3 linked regions of the Neodiprion lecontei genome follow. The protein of the gene in region 1 purifies or fractionates together with the protein of each later gene. This does not show direct contact. Links are inferred from orthologs where the notes say so. Each region holds a gene or a part of one and is shown in the gene's direction. Other genes may lie near its edges.

What was found. The genes of interacting proteins can lie anywhere in the genome.
Region 2: the proteins of nucleolar protein 58 (region 1) and NHP2-like protein 1 homolog fractionate together in Homo sapiens (co-fractionation; 3 studies listed by BioGRID and IntAct, with this or other methods). This does not show direct contact. The link is inferred for Neodiprion lecontei from reciprocal best matches to the Homo sapiens genes NOP58 and SNU13.
Region 3: the proteins of nucleolar protein 58 (region 1) and nucleolar protein dao-5 fractionate together in Homo sapiens (co-fractionation; 3 studies listed by BioGRID, with this or other methods). This does not show direct contact. The link is inferred for Neodiprion lecontei from reciprocal best matches to the Homo sapiens genes NOP58 and NOLC1.

What each region holds. Positions count from the first base shown.
Region 1 is NC_060261.1:2,781,363-2,786,144, reverse strand, and holds nucleolar protein 58, read left to right. Parts: upstream 1-1,551; 5' UTR 1,552-1,711; coding exon 1,712-1,756; intron 1,757-1,912; coding exon 1,913-1,989; intron 1,990-2,090; coding exon 2,091-3,523; intron 3,524-3,626; coding exon 3,627-3,772; 3' UTR 3,773-4,278; downstream 4,279-4,782. UniProt on the Homo sapiens protein: Required for the biogenesis of box C/D snoRNAs such as U3, U8 and U14 snoRNAs. Part of the small subunit (SSU) processome, first precursor of the small eukaryotic ribosomal subunit.
Region 2 is NC_060261.1:30,700,212-30,703,953, reverse strand, and holds NHP2-like protein 1 homolog, read left to right. Parts: upstream 1-1,914; 5' UTR 1,915-2,102; coding exon 2,103-2,105; intron 2,106-2,288; coding exon 2,289-2,669; 3' UTR 2,670-3,231; downstream 3,232-3,742.
Region 3 is NC_060260.1:24,040,104-24,047,726, forward strand, and holds nucleolar protein dao-5, read left to right. Parts: upstream 1-1,612; 5' UTR 1,613-1,958; coding exon 1,959-2,120; intron 2,121-3,811; coding exon 3,812-5,254; intron 5,255-5,724; coding exon 5,725-5,805; intron 5,806-6,182; coding exon 6,183-6,593; 3' UTR 6,594-6,616; exon of another isoform or gene 6,617-6,681; intron 6,682-7,252; downstream 7,253-7,623. UniProt on the Homo sapiens protein: Nucleolar protein that acts as a regulator of RNA polymerase I by connecting RNA polymerase I with enzymes responsible for ribosomal processing and modification.

The sequences.
Region 1 (4,782 bases):
GTTACCATTTATTGGTGAGATAACGACGTCGATAAGATCAGACGCGCTCAACCGCTATGCATTTTTATCGGTAAATTGTGCGCGTCGAATATTTAGTTGCTCGCGAATTACCGCTCCGGCAGATATTTGTCTGAAAAAAGGGCCTTGTTTTATACTTGGAGAATATTCTTGACTCAGCGATGAAGCTTTAATATTTTTCACTGAAATTTTCAGCGATTTTTTGGAAAACATTTCAGGACAACTTTTAGTGTAATTTTGTTTAAAAAATGGCAAGATACCGTACACAGTCCCTGGCGTTGATTGACGTAATATGTAAATAACGAACAGCGCAAAAATGCAGCCGTCAAATTAGTAACATGCCTTACAGGAGTTTCCTTACCTCGTCTTCGGCATCTCGACGAGTCTCCTGAAGAACAAGCAGAAAAAAATGAAGGTCAGGTGATACCGGGCAATATGGACAGGTCGAGCACTTCGGAAATTGGTCGTATTAACTCACAACGCGTCGACGGCATCCGTATGCCGGGTATTAAGCGACTGGTAATTTTTCACGTTGTAAACACCACCGCCCGCTGACCCGAGATCTGAGATCTAATCTATGTTTGTAAACAACACAGGATTACCGATCACGATTGAACCGACACTGCACTCTTTGTCGCGGGAAAGAAGGACGCTGAGGTCGATTTGACCGTGCAGCGTCGTTTTAGGGTTCCATGATTTTCGGTCATCATTCCCGTCTCACGATTATTCCGCGTTGTTCATTGTTCAATTCAGATGCTTAATTTCATCCGTACGGGGAAAAGAGAACCGGAGAATCAAAACGACGCTTTGCGGCTCAAACAATACTTACTGCGTCGCGAACGATGAAGCATGATACGACTTACAATGACACGACGAAACGAACACTTTGTCTCCGCGGTCACCGGCCTACTAAATCGACGAATTACAACAGGAATAATACCGGCACCAATCACACAGACCCGCCGACGAGTCGGGAAGAAAATTTGTTACGAATAATTATCCACTCGGTCTCGTGGGCGAAATTACTCCAACAATTTAAACGTAATCAGTCGAGACGAACGCACGGTCACGTGACTCGGCGGCGGGCGACTGTGGCGCTCTCTTCTGGAATTCCATCCAACTAGTGTGGAAATTTTTAAGTCAATGTCGAGTTGTACATTCTTTTTACCGATCGTGGATATATTGGCGAGCAGCTACTAAGCTTCGGTAATTGGTATACTTAGATCGTAGGTAGTTAGTTCAGGAGGTTGATCCGGGTTTTAAATTTCAAGCATATACTACTGGAGATAGCTTCGCATGTGCAGAAAGTGTAGCGTAATAGGAGTAATAGAGAGAGTTATATATGTTGCTTATAATCTGTCTCTCTCGCCCTACTCCTGATTGGCTGATACGACTCCTCTCAGCCAATCAAATGCAGAGTGAGAAAGATACGTATATCTTTCTTTCTCTCTCTCTCTCTCATCACTTCGGCTGCATTTTTCGCGAGATCAATACTTGGGATGGGTGGCTCCCTCCAGTAGTGAATGCTCTGAGATTTTGGAAGACGAAGACCGGATACAGTGTTCATACCACAGCTCGGGCTGTCTCCTTTCCATTCCGCGGTGTGTTTTATGCCGGCGGTCGCGTGGTTATAATTTTTGGGAATAATATTTTCAGTTGAAAACCGTCAGAAGAGCGTGTAAACCAGGCAAAGATGCTGGTTTTATTTGAAACCCCGGCGGGGTACGCCATATTTAAGGTAAGCTATTATCGGAGTTGCATTTTATCGGAACATAACCAAAACTCAAGTTCGGCCACAGGGACGCACGTGGCTATCGGAGTGAAAACGTTGTAATAAAAATTATATACTCATCGAGATTGTTTTCATCCTCACGTTCGTAATTTTTTTTTATAGCTACTCGACGAAAAGAAACTATCAGAAACAGAAAACCTCTATCATGACTTTGAGACCCCAGAAGCTGCTAGCAGAATGTAAGTATCGCGTACTCAGCAAACATGAAAATTGATTAATCTTTGGTAATTCTTTATAGTTTGATTATAAATACGATATTTATTTTTCATATTTTCCTCAGCGTCAAGCTCAAGCATTTCGAAAAGTTTGCGGATACGACCGAAGCTCTGGCAGCAACAACGGCAGCGGTCGAAGGAAAAGTAAGCAAGTCATTGAAAAAGATGCTGAAGAAGTATTGCGCCGAGGTTCAGGAGCAACTGGCAGTGGCAGATGCAAAGTTAGGAAATGCGATAAAGGATAAACTGAGCCTTTCCTGCATCAGTAACACTGCCGTTCAGGAATTGATGAGGTGTATACGAAGTCAGATGGATTCGCTGTTGACCGGCCTGCCGAAGAAAGAAATGACTGCCATGGCGCTTGGTCTAGCTCACAGCCTTTCAAGATACAAGTTGAAATTCTCACCTGATAAAATCGACACAATGATCGTCCAAGCGGTTTGTTTACTAGACGATTTAGACAAGGAATTGAACAACTACGTAATGCGATGCCGAGAATGGTACGGCTGGCATTTTCCTGAACTAGGAAAACTCGTGACTGATAACGTCGCGTTTGTAAAGACAGTGAAGATTATCGGCACCAGGGAAAACACGGGGAACTCAGATTTATCTGATACGCTGCCCGAGGATGTAGAAGAAAAGGTTAAAGAAGCGGCAGAGATATCAATGGGGACTGAAATATCGGACGACGATATTCTCAACATCCAACACCTCTGTGATCAAGTTATAGAGATATCCAGCTACAGGACACAGCTTTACGACTACCTCAAGACCAGGATGATGGCTATGGCTCCGAACCTGACGGTTCTTGTCGGCGAACTAGTCGGTGCTCGGCTAATTTCCCATGCTGGATCGCTCATCAATCTTGCGAAACATCCCGCCTCCACGGTGCAAATTCTTGGTGCAGAAAAGGCACTTTTTAGGGCTCTAAAAACCAAACGAGACACCCCCAAGTATGGATTGATCTATCACGCTCAGTTGGTCGGTCAATCGTCGACGAAGAACAAGGGAAAAATGTCGAGGATGCTTGCAGCAAAGGCGTCGCTGGCCACAAGGGTAGACGCTCTAGGTGAGGATGGCAACTTTGACCTAGGAGCTGAACACAGAGCAAAACTGGAGGCAAGGTTGAGAATACTTGAAGAAGGAAATCTGCGCAGGATCAGTGGTACTGGGAAGGCCAAATCAAAGTTTGAGAAGTATCACACGTCTTCAGAGGTGAAGCAGTACCCTACTGCTGCAGACTCGACTATACCGAGCAGCAAGAGAAGGCATTCACAGATCGATGATAAAAAGCCATTGATCGAAGAGATCGAAACAGTTGCAGAAGACGCAGCCGAAGTGCCACAGAAAAAAAAGAAAGTCAGGGATAGCGTTGGGGAACAGGAAGGTGCCGGAACTCCTGGTAGCTCAAAGAAACAGAAGAAAAAAGTCAAGCAGGAAACTGAAGAAGAAGATATTGCTGCTGTAGAAGTCGAAGAACCGGAGCAGGAAGTTGAAGGTAGAATTAGAATTATCTATGTTAAATGCAAATAGGTGTAGGAGTTGGAAAATTGTCGTATCGTTGAAAAATGTTCATTAATAACATCACTATTTATTCACAGTTACAGAATCAGCAAAGAAGAAGAAACAGAAAAAATCTAAGGTAAAGACGGACGTAACTGAGGAAGAAATCGCAGAACAGGTTGAGGGTCCATCCAGTGAAAAGAAGAAAAAGAAGAAGAAGAAGAAATCGATGCCAGACGATTAACTATTCCTCCATATGTGACAAGATAATTGTCGACGCAGTAATGCTATTGTTACTCTACTACACTACAAATGTATAATCGCTAACTTGGATATCTCTGCAGCGACATACATTGCTCCTAGGCCAATAGTTGTTTTATTTTTTTTTTTTTTTTATTTTTTTGCCACCCTTTTCCAACCACGTATGAAATATTTAAATATCGGATACATGTGTACATTTCTACAAAAAAATTTTGTACAATTTGATCATGAAGGTTAATTTCGTGCAGTGTGTGAAAAAGTAAGAGTTGTATAATAAGTAGAATTATTCTTGTATTGTTGAAATCCGTTTCCATATTATAATTGTGCTAAAGGATTTATAAAGTACGTTTGATAAATGAGCATACTAGAATATTATTTTGAATACATAAGTTTTCCTGTTCTTATAAGCAGTACTGCTGTGTTGCATACTATTATAATTCAGAGAAAAGAAAATGTGTATCTATTTTTTAATAAATCTATTATTAACTACCCCACGTGTATTTTTACCTAATTATAAGTCAACATTCTTTCCGTGAAAAAGTTTTGACAAGATGAAACAGAGCGATCGAGGTATAACAAAATAAAACTATGATGCATCGAATAATCTGAAATTTATTGTTAAAATTTTCCGTACCCTTAATTATCGTTTATGGATAATTATATATCTGGTTACAATATAATATTTAAAAAGTATAAAATATGCTGTTGATTTTTATATTATTTTATTCAATTATTTAGTTATTTATTTATTTATTTATTTCATTTATATATGTGCCTTAGAGCCTAACTAATTTTTAACATCTGATTTTAATTCTATCTCTATTGTATTTGTAATTCAAATTGAATCCTGATTTAATCTGGATTTAGTAAATTATGTACCACACACAAATTGCATCGAATTGGTTTCAATGCACTGAAATGAAAAGCTTCTAAAATATGAAATCTGAGAGTGAGATCAATGCATTTGATATAATATATATATAGCATATATAT
Region 2 (3,742 bases), about 28 Mb from region 1:
GCGATTGTAATGACTAAAAATGTGATGGAACGCACCTCAATCGTTTTGTTTTAAAAATATGAAATAAAAAAAAATTGAGCTTGTTGAGTCAAATTCATGTTTTGTTGAGTCAAGAGTTCAATGGTTGAAGTAATAAAATTTGTTGTTACAAAAATTGAATTGACTGAACATTAGAATTATTCAAATGCACAAAATGTATTCTTCGAATGATGTTTTTTATAATTTTGTTGACTCTAAATTTTATGGAATTTACTTGATAATTTGACATTACTAGGGCACACTCGAAAGATTATTGCCGAATATGAGGAAGTATACATACATAAACCTTACATGTTCAGTAGTTTTAAATTACGCGTCGTCAATATCAATTTCGATGAGTCGGATAATGGCATAACGTTCCCTTTAATTGTTATAGGCTTGATGTCTAATTTGTCCTAGGTTATCCGTAACCAAATTCTTGGCCGACTACCCGGTTTTGTAACTATCTCTGAAGCTACTTATAATACTACGCTTATAATACTAGTATACTGACGTTAACGATGAATATATTGTCTGCGTGTTTCAAAGCATGTGGTTTTCCTTTTACCTCGTAAACAAATTAGTGCAACTGATTCAACCAGTTACGCCAACTAAGCTCCGGTTGGATCAACAAAGTGTGGCATTTATCGATGTAAATGTTCTGTTTGCTAGATTCATATACTTATTTTACTTGAAGTATCTAACTTTTTCTGTCAGCAAACATACGAGTTGGAGGAACAATACATAAACTTCAAATATATGAACTGGTATTTAGTTGACTCAATTTCGGAAACACGTGAAAAAGTTCACTCGAGTCAATACTTCACTCGATCGCGATAAGAAAGGCTTTTTTTTTAAATTAAGGAATTCACTTGACTGAATCATTTTGACAAACTAACTAAATCGAAATTGTTGAATTGAAGTCATCGTATTTAAACCAAATAAGGAATACTAAATTGAAGTTAATGGACACCAACAATATCTATTTTGTTGATTCAAGAATTTCTTACCCTCAGTGTACATTCAACCGTCAATATTTGTGAGAATGCGAATTTGCATAAGTGAAAAGTTCTAGAGAGACTGAAGAGGGTATTCTTCACGATATAATACGATTGTTGAGTACAGTCTAAAATGCTATCTGGTTTTCTCAACTTTAGTCCGTGTTTATTGATGCATATACACCCACGTCGTTTTTTATCTTGAACCGTAGGGAACCAGACGCATATTGTCCATACATACGTGTACATTTAGAATTCAATAATTTAAGAAGCTCTACGAGTGGTCGGAGTAAAGTTCATTCATAGACTATGGTAAAATAATGTACATACATACGGTGTACCAAGGTCAAAGCTCCTCGAGAATAACGTTCTTGTGCACATTCCATATGGGGTTAGTTCGATCAGAAATCTCTTTTCAGTCCTGTAAAAATTTGTTAGAAATTTTATCATTCAAACGTTGACGCGTCCGTTTGTTTTTTTTTTTAGAAATTCATTAAGAATTGGTACAAATTTTTGTCATGCATCTTGTGAAATTAAATATCGTTTTACATGTTTTTCATACACTCGAAAAATCTCTTAAAGTACTACAATTTTGATAGTACTACAATATTTTTTATATATTTTCCAAGATCTGCAACTAAGACTTTTTTCTTCATTTCACACCATTATGAAAGCACAAACGAAAATCAATCGCGTGTCCATTTACTAACCATTCAAATCAGGGATTCAAACTCGTTTCAACCGGTTAAGAAGGCATTTAAAAGCTTCGATTCAAAAGGTATCATGCCGCAGACGAGTGCACTGCGTAGTTTCAGTTCAGGACGGCGATATGCTGCGGGAGCAGTGACGCGATCCTTTACAGATGAAAGCAACACACTGTAGACTGATACTCTATGCTTATATTTCCCAATACTTCCTGTGCATGCGTAGTTCAGTCAACGACGAATATACGTAATAGAAACGCGGCAACGTTCGGCAAAGTTCCAGGTTCCTCAGTGAAGCGATTTCTACAATTTATCGCCGAGAGGTTATAACCGGGTATTTCGATACCTCATTTCATTCCACAGTAACAGATATATTTAAAAAATGGTAAGTCCCAGTCACGTGTTACCGAATTAACTACATCCAGTACAAATTACACAGTCAACGCGCTATCGACAAGAGGTTATGTCGTTTAGCACGTGGACGCGCAGTGAACCGTACGAAGAGCTGCAAACGAGCGAATAGAATTGACCACAACCGCGTTTGATTTAATAAATGAATATTTTACAGACCGATCAGGTGAACCCGAAAGCATACCCGCTGGCCGATGCTACTCTGACAGCAAAGATCTTGAATTTGGTTCAACAAGCAATGAACTACAAGCAGCTTCGCAAAGGAGCAAACGAAGCTACAAAGACGCTTAATCGAGGTCTATCAGAGTTTATCGTGATGGCTGCAGATGCAGAACCTCTGGAGATTCTACTCCACCTTCCGCTACTCTGCGAAGACAAGAATGTTCCCTATGTCTTTGTTCGTAGCAAGCAAGCACTCGGACGAGCTTGCGGAGTTTCCAGACCCGTGGTTGCTTGCTCGGTAACAGTAAATGAAGGATCTCAGCTTAAGCCACAGATTTTGGCTATCCAACAAGAAATCGAACGGCTATTAGTGTAAAGGCTGTAATAAAAGACCTCCGGGAGTACCTGATTCTAAAAATTAAAACACCGCGGAATAAATTCGCATATTTTTCTACGCAATCCTGTTTTGCTTCTTCGTCCGAGGAAGTCTACCAGACATTATTTCAACGAAAATGAAACTGATTTATATGCATATGCATATGTATATGTATAACATACATATTGTAGCACTACAAATAATTGTATTATTACCAATATTTGAATATTATACCCATTTCTTTCAATACCATCTGCCGCAACCATTTACAAAACATTTTTGTGAATTCGGAAGGTCAGTAAATAAATGAAACTTTGTAACAAAAAACATAATCTTTTAACTACCTTTCGTAATGTCGCTCTACCAGTCATGTGATCAGTAACTTTGCTCATGGCTCGGCCTTTCATGAATATGACTTTTCAAACTTGGAATAATTCATGCATTTCACTACAAAGAAAAAGAAACATCTAGAATTAATGGCAACTGTTGTTCGCAAACGAAAATGACAACACTGAAGGTTGGTTGTAATTTTTAAATAAATACTGTATTGGTTCAAATATAAGATGATTTTGGATTTCAAAACTACGTATCAGAAATCATATTATAATAATACCTAAATAAGGGACATCTGGATATAAGTCAATAGAGTCTTCCAGTCATATGCAGTATCAAAAACCTGGACTCATATTTGAAACAAGACGGTGCTACTGTTCGTGTCTGCTCATCTATACACTATTACTATGTATTCCAATGGATGCTGTTTATTACATAGGGGAAATAAAAATGGATAAAACGTTCTAAATACAACATAAAACGTAACATATATTTGATTCGAAATTAATAATTAATATGGACTGAAGCAAAGTTAAGTAAACGAGATTATACTCTGTGAAATAAAACAACGATTAAAGCAATTACGATTAAGGTCGATAAAAAAAAATTTGCATACCCACAGCTCTTAAATGTTAACGTATTTGTGTAAAATAGGCCTCAATACTCCAAGGCATTGAAAAACTATTTTGTATATATTGTTAGAAAAATCACAGGTATGTAGTACACTAGAATTTTTGTCG
Region 3 (7,623 bases), on another chromosome or scaffold:
GTGTTCGAAATGATCATGAAGGCAGCCATTATGGTATGAATAGTTCTTTCAATCTATCATTATTGAACATAATTTTTCAAAAAGTGACGAGTAATAACATGGATATTTCCTAAGGTTTTCAACGAATCAATGGCTTGCTTGTATTTTTATGAAACTCACTTCCTAAAATTGGAAAACAGTGAGGCTACGCTTGCTTTTTCATAAACCACTAATCCAAGGTAATTTATAATTTCAGTAGGGGAGGGTGGGGCAAGACGGCCCCTCTAGGACAAGAAGGCCCCCTCCAAAAATTTGGTCAAAAAAAATTTTTTTTTTTTTTCAAATTATCGGGATTTTGATATATTAGCTCATTTGTAACCCTACGCGAGATACCTCGGGCAAAATGGACCAGCCAAAAATTCTAAAAAATAGATTTATTTACATTTTTAAAGTCAAATTATGAAGAATATGTACTTATTCATTTTTAGGCTGATTGTCTACTAAGTAGACTACTTGTAGGGTAAAATGAGCCACTAGCAGCATTTGAAAATAATAATTTTTTTTTAATTAATTAATTTCTTCAATTAAAGTTTTTTTTCCGAGTTTCATCAAAATGTCCATGGATTTGTTCGAAATAGGTCAAAAGTTAACTGACTTGATGGTTGAAAGCCACGAGTAATAACCGGCTTTGGGGGGCCGTCTTGCCCCAACCTTCCCTACTTGACATTCACAACTTTACCATTAAATAATTCTATTATAAAGCCGAAAAAAAGAACCACAGAGCTAGAGGTCAAAGGCAATCAAGATTCATTTCTTCCAGAGCCTGTCATGAAACTTGATGCTCAAAAAAATCATGTAGGAGATGGTGTCATACTTGTCAAGATCTTCTCGACAAAGCTAACTGATTGCAGTGCGGAACTGAAAATTTAATATACATTTGGCAATGTGAACTACCTTGCAGAGACCAGAAAGTTTATCAGTGTGAAATATGGTTAAGCGAATCAATATAGATATGGTAGTGATGAATTATGCATTTTGTATATTGTTACGCAACATTTAACTAACTCTGAACTTGAAAAGATGCGCTTTCATAATGATGGATTCCTTCAGCAGGTCATCTCAATCAAAAGATTAATTCAGGCTAAAAAAAAAATGCAAAGTTATGCATACGCAAATCTGATGAGAGTAATTTAAATAAATAATATATGTCCTGTTTGCATCAAGTTTAATATAAGATGATTGTATTTTACATAGATACAAGACTATCTTCTTTTTTCCCGCGTTAATATTCCGTGATACCTATGTGATGTATAAAGACTCAACCCTGAGCTATTTTTCGTAACGATTCAGCGGCTCTGGAAGGGATTGGGGGTATCAGTAGTTTCACGTAATATTAACCGAGTAACTAAACACGTCGGTAACAAAGTACTTCATAACCAACAACTATCGCGTGCAAAACGTTTGTAACAACGTCAATTCATGGTTTTTCAATTAAAGAGCTAAAGAGACGCGGGAAAAAGTCTTTTTCTCACAGGACATATTTAGAAATATTTAGAATGACATAAATAATATTATTTATACAATCATATGATCAACGGTTTTTTTTCAATAACTGATTTTCGAGACGCAAATTAAACGTGCGTTTCGAACGATCAACATGACCACTAACGGCTGCCTACTGTGTACTCAGTTGTCTACATGCCGGCGCTTAGCGGGTATTTTTTAACCTGTCGTATCTTGCGAATGACTTCGGATACATGTTCTTTCGGTTAATTTACTCAGTTCGGCTATATGAGTTCGACTTCCTCTGTAACCCCTATCAGTTTGATCACTTGCAGCTGAGACACTCTATATGGCGACAACTTCAGTCGATAAAGTAAGTTCTCGAGCACGCCGCAAGTGTGACGTTCGAGGTAGCACCGAAACGTAGCGTGGTAAATGGTAGGTGATATGGTGATCTTGTATAGCGTATCTGTCTTATGGCTAGCGGCCGATTTCAATGCGCTCCGAAGTACGCCGTCTCTTCGCACGCGTCCATCATGGCCTCCATAGACGATCCTACGATCTCCGCGCTCGTTTATGATTATTTATTGAAGAAGGACACATCCCTGGCGAAAGTCTTTCAGAAAAAAACAAAAGCGGTAAGCTTCAGAAAAGAATTGATGTATTTTACCCTTGCGTGACTATATTCTATACGATATACCGCGGCCGATAATTGGCAGCCTCGATAGCCGCACCACGTGGATAATTTCGAAATCGAAACGGCTTCTTATAAAGCAATTAAACCAAGCACAATATTTCATCCACACGAGTCTCGTTATTTCTCTCATTAAAATGTACTCCGTAACACATGTCTTTTCGATCTTCTTTCACGAAGCTTGAATACGAGACTCAAGATTTTCTAACCTCCCATGTCACATATGAGAAATAAATTCGAACCTGCTTGACTGAATGTGAAACGTGTTTACTCACGTAAGCAGTTTATTGCCAATTAGCATTGGGAGTGTTTTCACCTGTATCTTTTTTCAATCACGGTGTCATTCATCGTTATTACTTAATTTATCTCTAAATAGGTACTGATTTCAGTACAGCTAATATACCTTCAATATTGTACTTCTTAGAGATTCCTAAAATTAACACTGTATAATTGCCAATTTTCACTCTTCGTGCACTTGATATAGTTGTTTAAAAATAATTGCAATAATATTTCAATATTTGTATTAATTCTACAGTTACATTGTAACCTAAAATATTGCAAACCCATGTTTTACGTGACAAATAGAAATTGAATACTTATTCCATTTGCGACATAACATAACCATGTACAAATGTTTTATGCGCTGATGATTTGTGTATATTATAGCGATGAATACAAAAAATATATACACATATTATGTACGTGGTAGATTTTTAAATGAAGTATTTGTCTTCACATTCCATGTACTTAAGATGAAACGAGTACATACTTAGAAATCAAACTTCTTTTATAAATATATATAAATATTCGTATATAGGGGGTTTCAGTTCATCCATTCGAGTCATCGGAGATTTTGAGTTTTTGGCTGACCTACAACAACTGTTCCAGAATTACGGGACCTCGAATGGTTTGCGAGAGGTTAACGGTTTAATGTTTAAAAAAACACAATTAGTTGATACAACGGATCTATCTTTGAGCATGTATATCTTGTCTCCCTGATGCTGGTAGAATACTTTCGCAACTGATTTGCGAGTGCAAAGGATTTATCTTTAAAACTGTGAAATTGATAAATATTTAAGGACAGTTTTTAATTGCGAGATATTCCGAGAGGTTTTGATTTTGATTTTTAAACTAGAAGGGCATAATTTTCTACTTGAAAATTCCACTAAATACTTAAGAGATCCTCAAGTTTATAGAAGGGTGCTTTTTTTTTCTTAGTTTTTTTTAATTATTTAATTTCTTTTATCGCCTGCTGGAGTGCAACCACTCTTTTTAGTTTTGAAAATAATCTTTTAACGTCAGGGAGCCAATATATTCATGTTCAAAGATCACCTTGCATCGAATGAATGGTTATTTTCAAATTTTGAAAAGTCAATATTTCGTGGACCATTCAGCATCAGGCCGTATAACCCTAGAATAGTTGTTTTGGGTTCGCCAAGAATCAAAATCTGAAATGCTGCCAAAATCAGTGACCCATGCGCAGAATTGCGATCCGAATGTGCTGGAATCCCCCACACATTAAAAAGAATGTGTGTCGTATGCAGTGTGAATTGGAATTAAATGGCTAGGATTTCTCAGTACTTTGATCAAATTGAAAATTTATTCTAAACAAATTTTGAACGATTTTAATTTCAGCCTGAGCTTGCAAAAGGCTCTCCAACAATACTGCAAGTAATACAGCATTTTCAAAAGAATTCATCGAAAAAAGTTAATGTTAAAGCACAAAAGACAAACAGCAGTTCAGATTCAAGTTCGGAGAGCGAAGATGAGGTGCCTAAAAAAGTGCCAATAGTTAACGGCAAAGCGCCAGTAACAAAAAAGCCAGAAATCAAAAAGCAAGAAAGTTCATCAGAAGAGTCTTCTAGCGAAGATGAAAAACCAGCCGTCAAAGTATCCCCGCCTAAACCTGTAGCTAAATTAACACCTGCCGCAAAAGAATCAAGTTCAGATGACAGCTCGTCGGACGAAGCTCCGGCTCAAACAATTTCTTCAAAAACAAAACTGACCCCAGCTAAGCCAAATGCCAAAAAAGCTTCTTCCAGCGACGATTCTTCAGATTCTGAAGAAAATTCCAAAACACAAGTGGTGTCTAAACCTATGGCCAAAGCTGGACCTAAAGTAATCCCTGCAAAAGTAGCTGCAGCGAAACAAGAATCCTCGGACGATAGTGATGATAGTAGCGATGACGAACCAGCTGTTAAATCAAGCTCCAAACCTGCAGCTAAAGCTGGCGCCAAGCCCGTCGCTAAACCTGTGGCAAAACCAGTCGCAAAAACAGAGACTTCTAGCGATGATTCGGATGATTCATCAGAAGACGAAAAACCGGCAGCAAAGACTCCAAGCAAAGTTACACCTGTAGTAAAGGCTACTCCTATAAAGGTTGTAAGTTCAGCAGCTAAAAAAGAAGAATCTTCAGACGACTCTTCCGACGATGATGAGCCCACTGTGTCCCCAGCTGCTAAGGTGGTAGCTAAGGCAGCTGTGAAAGCAAAATCGAGTAGCGAAGATTCGGATTCATCTGAAGACGAGAAACCTGCACCTAAACCAGTCACTCCTGCGAATAAAGCTACCAAACTTGTCGTTAGGCAGGCTAAAGAGTCCTCAAGTGATGATAGCAGCAGCGATGAGGAACCACCAAAAAAAAAGTTTGCAGCACTTCCAACTAAACCTGCAGCAAAACAAGAATCATCCAGTGACGATTCTGATGATTCATCAGAAGTTGAGAAACCAGTGCAGAAAGCTGTTGTAAAATCCACACCAGCTAAAGCTGTTGTCAAACAAGTAGCTAAGAAAGAGTCCAGTGATGACTCTGATGAGTCTACAGAGGATGAGAAACCTGCATCTAAGCAAGTTGCCCCCAAAGCTGTTGCTGAGGAAACATCCAGTTCTGAGGATAGCGATGAAGAGGAAACGCCAAAACCTAAAATTACTCCAGCTGAGTCCAAAAAAAGAAAACACCAAAATAACGATAACGATGAAGACGATGAAGATGATACAGAAGCAAAACAAGTTGCAAAAAAACAAAAGGACAAATATAGCAATTTTGTAAAGGCTGGGAACAATGTAAATGGGGACAAGGTAACTATTAGTTGCAAACCTAGCAATTTTTATCTTGTATCATCAAATTTGCCCTCAATAGTACACTGAAACTGTTTTACACAGTTCTGGACATCAATATCATTTATTTTATCCATAAATTTAAATATAGAAAATTTAGTCCCCGCAACCTTTTAAAAACAAAAATTGAAGCATGAAATTTTTTATTTGAGCAGTAATCCTCTTTTTCCCTAGCGCTTATATGTTCCCTAATTGAAGCAGTATTTGTAGACGAATTGAAAACTAATGTTAAAGATGTAGGTACAGAAAAATATTTACAACCACCAATATTCGTGGAGTTCCTTTGTTGTTTACTTTGTTTTTGTGTATTCATATCTTTTAACAGAGTACTTCACTATCATTAATGTCACAAATTGCACTAATTTTTCATGGCTCCATTTGAGCCCACCATCAATGATATACTTACCTTTTACTTTCATTCTGTGAACCAGAAAAATACACCATTCAGACGCGTAAAGGATGACGAGATCGAAGTGGATCCACGATTGGGGAGTAATGCATTTGAAGCTAAGGTAAATGCTCGGAAACAAATGAGTATGAAAACAAATGAGAAACACAAGGTCACTCCCATACTCTTTCATGAAAGTTGAGGATTGATCTGTTGAAAAAAAAAATTATACGACTTTGTCCTGATAATTCAAGTAACCAGAAAAGTGTATATACTCATATTGTTTATCGTAACCGACGATTGTTTAGTTCTGAATCTTGGACTTGGCTACCAAATTCGAAAGCCTTATTGCCACCTGATATTGTTTGCGCTCATGTTTCCATGCATTATCCTGAATTTTTCCAGGTGCCTGTCTCGTGTCAGTGGCCGAGAAAGGGCAGTGCTCGGACAAATGATATCAACTTTCAGATTGCTTGACCTTGTGTTTCTCTCTTGTTTTAGGAAGAGGGTGAGGAATGTGCCCATACCCCAAATAACGGTAACTTCAGGGGCGGAAGAGGCGGTTTAGGTTTCCGCGGAGGAAGGGGTGGCGATAGAGGTGGTCGTGGAGGCTTCAGGGGTGGGAGAGGTGGTGATCGCGGAGGTTTCAGGGGGGGTAGAGGTAGCTGGGGTGACCGAGGAGGAAGAGGCGGTGGCCGAGGAGGGGGTGGCAGAGGAGGTTTCGGAGATGGAGGCAGAGGCGGTGGTGGACGAGGGGGAGGTGATTTTAGAAAATCTTGGGGAGGTGACGAAGGTGGCCGAGGCGGTGGAAGAGGTGGGGGCTTCAGGGGCGGCAGAGGGGGTGGTTTTGAGAAAAGAAATTCATTTGGAGATGCACCCGCTCAAAATAAGAAAATCACTTTTGACGATTGATTATAGGAGTTTTTAAAGATAAGGTAATCGCTCAACATAAGACTCATGGATGTATGAAAAAGCCTGTAATTGGTACGGTAATTCACAAGTGAGTTTTTTTTTTTTTTTTTTTTTAAATAGAATCATTACATTTGTCGAATTTTTATAAATTCTTGATATTCAAAAAAAAGCACATCGTTTGGTTCTGAATTCAGTGGTGACTTTGTAGAATTCTATACGTAAACAAAGAATTTGGCATGACGTTAATCTGACACAAAATCAGGCTCATATGCGTCAAGCACGGAATTGGAAACTCTGATACTAAATTTTCGTCTTTCCAATTAGTTTCGGACTTGTAGGACTTGTTTGTACTTTCATGATATCTTAGTAAAATTTATAATAAATACATGGTGTCCAGACATGAGAATTCAAGAATTCCGTTTGATCTAAATTCTGCGAGTGACTTTAAACTCGGCAATATCTTGCGAAATTCGAATACGTACAAGATCATTCATTTCTGTTTTTCTAAAGGTAATTTTTACATTTTTCACTGTTCGTAACACAAACCCGAAAAACTTGAAATTATCATGAAATCCTGTTCACCATGTAAAATCGTTACGTCAAGTGAAGTGTTAAATGTGACGTGTAATAACCGAAATTATCTTGTTTTATTTTAACAGAAAGGTTTCCGAGGCTCATGGGGAGAAAGAGCAAATCTGGACCTGAAACACACCAGGGGGAAATCGTTCCGTCATGAAAAAACAAAAAAAAAACGTGGCAGTTATCGCGGTGGTCAAATAGACATGACAGTCAATTCCATTAAGTTTACCGACAATTGACAAATCGATTATTTCACGTGAAATATTACGATTACAACATGATATACGCCATAGCTATTTCTTACAAGAGTCTTATTTTTATTACAAACCACTTATTATTAAATTATTTCTCATTGTAAAACCGTTATAGAATCATCATTACTTTCCGACGTATCGGCAACGGTGTATTTATCACCTGACATTTAGCTTGTCAAAGCTAGATTTATGTTTTA